Linked DNA regions of Schizosaccharomyces pombe. The gene in region 2 interacts genetically with the main gene of each other region. Each region holds a gene or a part of one and is shown on either strand. Other genes may lie near its edges.

What was found.
Region 1: mutations in ntp1 (region 2) and ftm7 together harm fitness more than expected from each alone (negative genetic interaction), as found in Schizosaccharomyces pombe (one large-scale study listed by BioGRID).

What each region holds. Positions count from the first base shown.
Region 1 is NC_003423.3:4,501,393-4,504,179, forward strand, and holds ftm7 (transmembrane helix domain-containing protein), read right to left. Parts: upstream 1,005-2,787; coding exon 564-1,004; downstream 1-563. Other genes in the region: SPOM_SPBPB2B2.18 (uncharacterized protein), read left to right, coding at 1,300-1,333, 1,395-1,465, 1,676-1,894, 2,135-2,272; SPOM_SPBPB2B2.19C (transmembrane helix domain-containing protein), read right to left, coding at 2,518-2,787.
Region 2 is NC_003423.3:204,539-210,162, reverse strand, and holds ntp1 (alpha,alpha-trehalase Ntp1), read right to left. Parts: upstream 3,583-5,624; 5' UTR 3,086-3,582; coding exon 878-3,085; 3' UTR 522-877; downstream 1-521. Other genes in the region: protein Atg38, read right to left, coding at 1-241, 338-361; protein wwm2, read right to left, coding at 4,693-5,514.

The DNA of each region.
Region 1 (2,787 bases), 4.3 Mb from region 2:
GCTATTAAAAATTAGTTTCGCTTGAGTTTTATTTTAAGAGTAGTAATAGTCAGAATTTATTGTGCTGATACACTTCAACTTACTTGATTAATAATTGAAAAAGAGAAATTTACAATTGAAATTGAAATGGATGGATTTGAAACAAACCATTCGTCAACATCACCGCTACTTTAAAAATGCTACTGTACTTGCGAGTATAACTACACAAAAGTACATATTTAAGCGATTGCATCAAGTAATGTCATATATAGAAATACAATAATATAAACGGAGCACAAACTGAACCTCGTTCTTGATATATCAAGTCCTCTTTATTGTACCATAATGTTGTATGTCGTTGTGCTATATTTTTTTGTAAGTTACAATCATACTGATTGGCATAGCTTCTGCTTTTAACATAACGGCGATCAAGCCATATTTGATCAGGTTAGGCAGAATTCCAATGATTGCATTAGAAGGTTTAGATCTTCAAGTCAATTTTACGATTACAAGCAAAGGAGAAATAGCAATCAAGCCAGTATCGAATACTCATTACACGTATATAGCAAGATACTATGGAATTGTTATCGTGATATGAATCTTGATGGTGGATTATTATAGCCCTGGTGCAGATCACTAATATCGGTTTTCGAGTAAGAATGATTCTTGCTTTCTGACCTAGTGACTTTCTCAATAGAGAAAAGTATAATGACTTGAAATTTAGAAAACGTTCTAATGGAGTTAATGGAGTGAGTTCTAATGAAACGAGGAAAAAATTTGTTATGATATACTACGACGCATCCAAATGTAAAGGATCGGAATTTAGATGAAACCGATGGTACTTCCGAGTAAATGTACCAACAATATAATAAATAAATCAGCAATTTTACTGCTAGACAATATTTCACTGTGAGGCTTAGTCTTGGTATAAATAGAGGGACTCTGTCAAAACAAATATTTTGAACTAGACTCGAATTCTTCATAATTCTATTCACTTGAGTGTTTATTTTTTTTAACAATGCCATTACATTTACGAGATATGTGGATATCCACTGACGATTATAAGGATGTTTTACTTACGTGTCCTGTGTGGTATGAAATTAGTGAAAGAGAATTAAATCATGCTGTTTGGGGACAATATTAAAATGGTGAAGTTATAATGAAACAGTTGTTGGAAGCGATTAGTTTCAAAAATTAGCGACTCGTATTTTGTTTATTATTATTATTATTTTTTCTTTTTTTTTTATTCGCTGTTTTAAAATTGTTTCCAGCAATCTTCTTCCTGTTCTCTTTTTATCCGTTTGACAACACATTTTGCTAATGCTTTTTTTTTTTTTTAGTTCAAAGAAGACTGGTACGAGAAATAAACAAGTTCAGTAGTTTCGAAAGCAATTGGCTCTTTCTTTTGTTTTTAGTCCGAGTATGTCGTCAGTTGAAAACCGTAACGGTTCTCATTGTGCCTGTTCTTCCGGTTTATACGAATAAGGTAAGAACATTCAAGAAAGCGTTTGATATGAAGTCTGTTCCATTATTGCTCTTAGTGCCTGACAAACGTTGTTAGTCTGTTTTGAGTTTACAAGTTTGTTAAGCTAATAGCCATTCATTGATCTTCATTGTTACATGCTTTCCATGGAATAGTTGGAGGTGTTTACTTTTCAACTTGTTAGCGATCGCTTGCTAACATTTTTAATAATAGGTACTTTGTTGTTCTCAGTGTGACTGGCACGAACCAGCAAATGTTTACTCGATTGAACAAAGGCGTAGTCATGATGATGATCTTCCTACCATTAAGGGTTCTGATGCTAGTACTCAACAGTATGAAAGAAAAACTTATATTACCGATGCTAGTCCCGAATCTCAGAATCTGTTTTTAAGCAAAAGTAAAGAGGAGGGAGTTATCTTCTTATGCATACAAGTAAGCTTTTAACCTTGATTCTATTTATTCACTTTTACCATTTACTACTTTCGCAAATTCCTGTTTTTTGTTGGGGATATGAAGGGGAATATAAGGGTAAAGTAGATGAAATGGATGTATTTGAAAGTTGATTTGGATTCGATTTATTACTTTGAATCCCCGTTTATTATTATACGTTTATGTCGTTTTAAAGAAAACCATGCGATGTACTATATTAATTTTGTAAAATATATATTATAGATAAAAAAATTGTTGGGAAAATGGGAAAGCAAGTTGAAAATAATTAAATTCAATAAATTAGCAAAATATGTTTATGAAGGTAACCAGTTTTTTCTTTTTATTTTTTTTTTGTCTATATGTCAGATTCGCAACTTTTAAGTTTGAACAAAACATTATTTCACATCGACTCAAAGGTTATGTGTATTTAAAACGTTCCAGTAAAAAAATATTCATTTGTAAAAAATAAATAGGTGGTATATTAAATAAGAATGAACTTACTACACAATTTCTGTGTAAAAAAGTGAGATTAAAATAACTGGATATTAATCCATTGATAAACAAATAATAAATAAAATAATCCCGGTAACCCCTTTAAAGGTGAATCAAGTAAACCATGGTTTTTGTCAAATCATTTTCTCTTGAGCCTCTTCAGCTACATTTCGATTGTAGGCAAGTGCTTCATTATGGGTGGGAAACATTATGTAACATGGAAAAGCAATTTTCTCCATAAAAGTGAAAAGATCACCAATGATCACCGACAGTCTGTAATCAAAGTTTCCAAATATAATATTCGACAGGTAATGCAACATTGGAGATGCACAGAATATAAAGATAAATGCATTTAGCATTCTTCTAAAAAATCTGGCTTTTGAAGCATTTTCGTAAGTTGTTAC
Region 2 (5,624 bases):
ATAATCTCGTAGACATTGACATTGATATTGGTGTTTGTTTGTTTGGCAATGATTCTCGTAACTCGCGTATACGAACCATCAACTCTTCGATTTGGTTATTTGCGCATCTTTTAATAAGAGGCTGAGCTGTGTTCTGACATATCTTTTCAAACTGACTTTTTGCTAATCCATAATACATAATTGCTTGTGAAATTTCTCCCAAAACTTCCTGATTTTCCCCATCTCGGGCGTATTCATGCGCCTAATTTTGTTAACATTCACATTCAAAAGCGAACGATAATTACGAACTTCAAACACTAAATTTACTCATATCCTTATCTCTTTAAGCATCTCTTACCTTTCTTAATGAATATCGAACCATAACACATTTTAATAATATACTGTTGTTGTGTAAGGAAGTGGCCAACTTATGTTGTCTACAAATGTGAACGACATAATACGGTACATTAACTCAAAATAAGTTTCTAGAAGACAATTCCTTCAAAAAAAAAACTAATAAAGTGATAGACACCAAATTAAACATTAGAGTTATATTCGGACTAAAACTGCAACAACAGTACTATCATGGAAATTATAAATTAGAATTGAATCGTAAGGTAAAAAATTCATTTACTACTTCTTTCTTTTAAGTAAAAAAGTAATAATATCGCTGGTGATAAGCTTTACTCATAAATTTAAATAGAATTAACTATTGTTTCGTAAGGGAATATTCGCCAAATAGAACCTTCATAGTAGAAGGATTTAATGGAAGGTATAACATGTAACATAACAATGGGTTTTAACCGGTCGATAACCAAAATAACATAATAAGAGAATAAAGCTAAAGGCAACTAAAAAAGTAGACAAAGTCGATTATTTTTTTCAAGCAAACGATAACTTAATTTTTATGAATGGAAAGGTTTTCGAAAGCAGGAAGAGATTCTTCCTTGATGCCGGCAAAGAAAACATCAGGAGTCGTACAAGCACCAAGAGCCCGACGCATATGCGAATTACAGAATGTAAGGCCGACTTCGTAACTGGCATTAACCCATCCAAAACCTTCGCGAGCAACGCCTTTGATATTGACACCCTGATTACCATACTCAGCTTCAACACGATGTGGATCAACTGGTCTGGTCAAATCATATTTTTCAACAACAATACCATTAAAATCAACAAACGATTTAGTAATAGTATATAGCCAACGATATACAAGTCTACGAGTCTCCTCTTCATATCCGTATCGAATCAATCCATACCAAGCTAAAATCTGCTGAGGGCTCCAGCCATTAGGATAATCCCATTGACGGCTGGGATTATCAAGACCCACTTTACCCAAGCTTCTCTTTGTACCAGCAACTATACCTCCAGCAACTTCAAACTTGGGAAGACTAACATCAACAAATTTTGCGGCTTGACGGGGAGTTGCCACACCGGCCCACAAGGCCCAGAAAGCAGTAGCACTTTCATAAGTACTCTTCGTTTCTAACTTCGTGTTGTAATCATACCACATCGAATCAGCTTCTGACCAAAGATACTTTTCCATTGCAGCACGACGAGCACGAGCACGACGATCCCAAATGGCAGAAGTTTCTATAGTTCCGTTTGGAAGTACAAACTTGTCATCGAAATATTCTAAAATCACATGTGAGATGTCGGTTTCATATTTGTATAGCAACGAGTTCAGATCCACGGTGGCCAAGTCAGCACAAACTTTTTCCAACCGATAAGTAGTATCATGCCCGCTTTCGCGAACTGCGCGGTCGTGCACGAAATACTCATCCAACGCGGGTTCATGAATTTGTTGGTAATTGTATGCATGAGTAAACTCCTCAAGAGTCATATGATACTTCTCCATGTAAGGACGAAGCAAATGCTCAAAATGAGAAGCTTCAGTTTCCGGAGGAATACCGAGTCCTCCAGGGCGATAGCGGGAAAGACCAGTTTTGGGATCCAGTCGTGGAGTGGCAGTCCAAACAGTGTGATATTCTTTTATAGTCGCAGAAAAGGCCCGATGCAAAAAGTCTAAAGATCCTTCTTCGTTTTTTATACGTTCATAAACTCGAAGGGCCATATCGGTCAAAAATGGAGGCTGGGAGCGAAGAAGATAATAAGTGCGGTTGGCATTCAAGATCTTACCGTAATAGGTAATTTCAAAAATAAAATTCTCCACCATACCTTTCGCCAAGTCAACCCGATCGTCAACAAGCAAACCCAGTGATTCAAAGTAAGAGTCCCAGCCGTACAGTTCATTAAACCGGCCACCAGGAACGACAAATGGCACACCTCGAAGATGTGTATTGCCTTCATCATCTTGGTATTTTTCCATTGCAAGTGCAAGTAACCCTGGCTTATCATTTACATCTCTCACCCATTCTGGAGTAATCTCTTCCGGCAGATATTCGACCTGTAAATTCAAGTAAGGCCTTTCCTTAGCAGCGCGAACATAGTATTCATACATCTCTTGTTCGGCTTTAGGAACATAAATTCGATTCACGTGTGATCCTGATCGGTCTTTGGTATCACGGCAAATAACATCCAAAACACTGGCATCGATTCTTCGAGTAAGGGCATCCCAAAAGGTACCTTTGATGAGTCTAGAAAGTCGGTTCACAGGGTTTTCATTAAGTCTTCGCTCATCAAGTAAAATATATCGACGTCCATAATCCTTTGCCAAGGTCAATTCCTGAAGTAAATTTGACAATTGATATGTGCCGCGAAGCTCATACAAGCGATATCCACCCGAGCTAGCGCTGCCAAGGGAAACAACTTTAGGTCCGGTATCCTCGATGGTGATTTGCATGTTCCGGTCGGTGTCTTCAGATTCCAAAAGTGCATTCAATGTCTTATCAACATCAACAAGAAATTTTCGTGGTTGTTTATGTTCATCAAGACTTCCACGTCGACGTAAATTCTTTAATTCTGGTATAGTTGGTGCGGCGGATGCCTCCATCGAAGTGGATAAGGTGCGAGGACGGCCAGCACTTACCCGAGTCGACAAGTCTGTATCCTTGGAGTAATAACTCTTAGCGGTTGCAAAGGGATTGTCATCATCATTTGAAATGGCTTCTGTATCCACGTATTTAGAGGAAAATTTCGAAGGCATATGAAACAAACTTATTCGTGTTAAATATTTTCACTATTAGATCAATGTATATATAAACTTCTTTAAAAATGTATTTTTTTTCTCTTTATTGTTCCTATTCACGAATGATAGCAAATGATGGAGAACAAGGTTATTCCGTTGATGGCTTCCGTTTCCTTCACTACAAGCTAACGATATATCAAAAATTCAAAAGCTCCTACGAGGAATACGCTCACTTTCCAAAGCAATTCACAAGATAAAGTGTTTTTTTTTTTAAAAAAACAAAACAAAACAAATTCCTGCTTTTTCGTTCTAAGCTATAAAATAGCAAGCAAGATTTCAGAAAATCGACACTAATTACGTATAAGGAAAATCCGTGTCTTTAACTGAATTTGAGTAACTCTACCAAATTCTTAGTACCCCAATAGGTATAAATCGTTAAATCCTAAAAAAATTTTAAAAGAACTGCTAGTTTCTTCTATGTATCAGTCTATAATCCTGTCGTTGATATTTGTGGTTTGGAGTTGCTAAGTTCTCATACATTCTAAACCAAATTTACGCTGATGTAGTTCGTTACTCAATGACGTAGTCTACCTGACACCTATAGAGCTTATGGAAGTTTAAGGATGCGGCAATAGGATAGCAGCAACGGTGAACACCATCGCTATAATCAAAACAATGAGCTGAAACATAGAAAGAAGATACGAGAAAATTGGCTAATTAAGATACAACAGTAAAAAAGGTATATACGGACGCCTCTGAAACAGTTATCACTGATTTTAGTGGTACTATTGAGAAGGTAATGAGTTTTGTAAAGAACCACAATATTCCGTATTTTTTAACATTGAGAATGCTCTATTGACTCGTTATATACCACGAGATGAAACCCTATGTATGTGTAGTTTGAATGCGGCACTGTATGTTGTTCTATCGGTTTTTTTTTTAAACTTGCACTCTTCTGGTTTGAAATGATTTGGCTGTTATAATTACAAGTTGCAATTCGGTTAATTAGCGGTACTTACCTCTTCTATGTTAAGATAAACATGTACTTTTAATGAAGAAAGTATACAAATCTGACGAAGTATTGGGATAAAAGACTCTGAACTAACCGATTTACGCAATATTAATAGAAGCTAATCTGACAGCTTTAAATTTCAAATTTCAGATTGTATACAGCCAAAGTATACACGTACGCATTTCGAAGTAGACTGGGTTTGACGTGTGCGAGATAATGAACATAATAGATATTTTTTAGAATCTTTTAATACTTGCGCATAAAATGTTACGTATGAACAAGCATGAATTGTTTCCACAGCTATAGATACAGCACTTATGTTTACCTATATCTAAACTGTTGCATTGAATCATTCCTACATAAACCTAAAAAACAACAACACAGGGATATCAAAATTGCTTGCTTGCGAGCTTTTCTATGTGCACTTCTAAAATTGCCCAGCTCTACTTAATACTTTCAGAAAGTCCTACCTTAATAAAATTCAATTTCACTTTAGCAAAATAACTGAGTATAAACATAAAAAATTTTTTAACGGTATCGACTTAATATCTATTGCGCAATATACTCACATAAAAAGCTCATAAACAAATATTTAGTTCCATGTTTCTCAGTCTCACCAACCAGGACCGCCATGACCTCCAGGACCACCCCCAAAGCCTCCGGGGCCTCCTCCAAAACCTCCAAGACCGCCTCCAAAGCCGCCAGGACCGCCTCCGAAGCCACCAGGACCGCCCTCAAAACCTCCAGGGCCGCCTCCAAAGCCACCGTGACCACCATGATGATGGCCTTCACCTCCAAAGCCTCCAAAGCCTCCAAATCCACCAGGACCAGGAGGAGGACCGCCAGAACCACCACCAAAACCTCCGAAACCACCACCGTTATGACCACGATGGTGAAAGAGATTGCCAAGTGCGTGTGAAGCCAGGCCACCTAAGGCCAATCCACCTAACCCTGCAGCGACAGGAGCAACGTAGCTTGGTCTACTGTAAGAGTTGCCAGTGGTGTAGCCATTAGAAGAGGTAAGCCCACTGAACAGCCCTTTATCACTACCATCTGCATTGGTAGTGGTAGTGGCAGCAGCATTAGGATAGTATGCAGCATTGGTATTGGCAGGGGCATTGGGGTTATATGCAGCGCTGGTAGTAGCGGCAGCATTGGTAGTCGTGGCAGTGTTAGCATTGGCATTTGCAGCAGTATTAGCATTGTATGCAGCATTCGTATTCGCAGCAGAAGTATTGTTATTGTTATTATACACAGCTGTATTAACGCTTGTGGCTCCTGGAGGAGGAGCAAGTTTCAGATTTTCGACTGGTGGTTCCCATTGGGGCTGTGGATTTTGAGCTGACTCGTTAACATAAAAGTATGTTCCATATTCAGCATCCCATTGAGCAACCCATCCACTGGGCAAACCTTCACGAGTTTGATAGACAGACATTTTTTATATGATTAATTCTGTAAAGACACAGAGTAAAAACCTATATAAACGATATAGAGGCTTAGAAAGATTCTAACCAAAGAAAAGAAAAATGTTATAGGCAGATATTC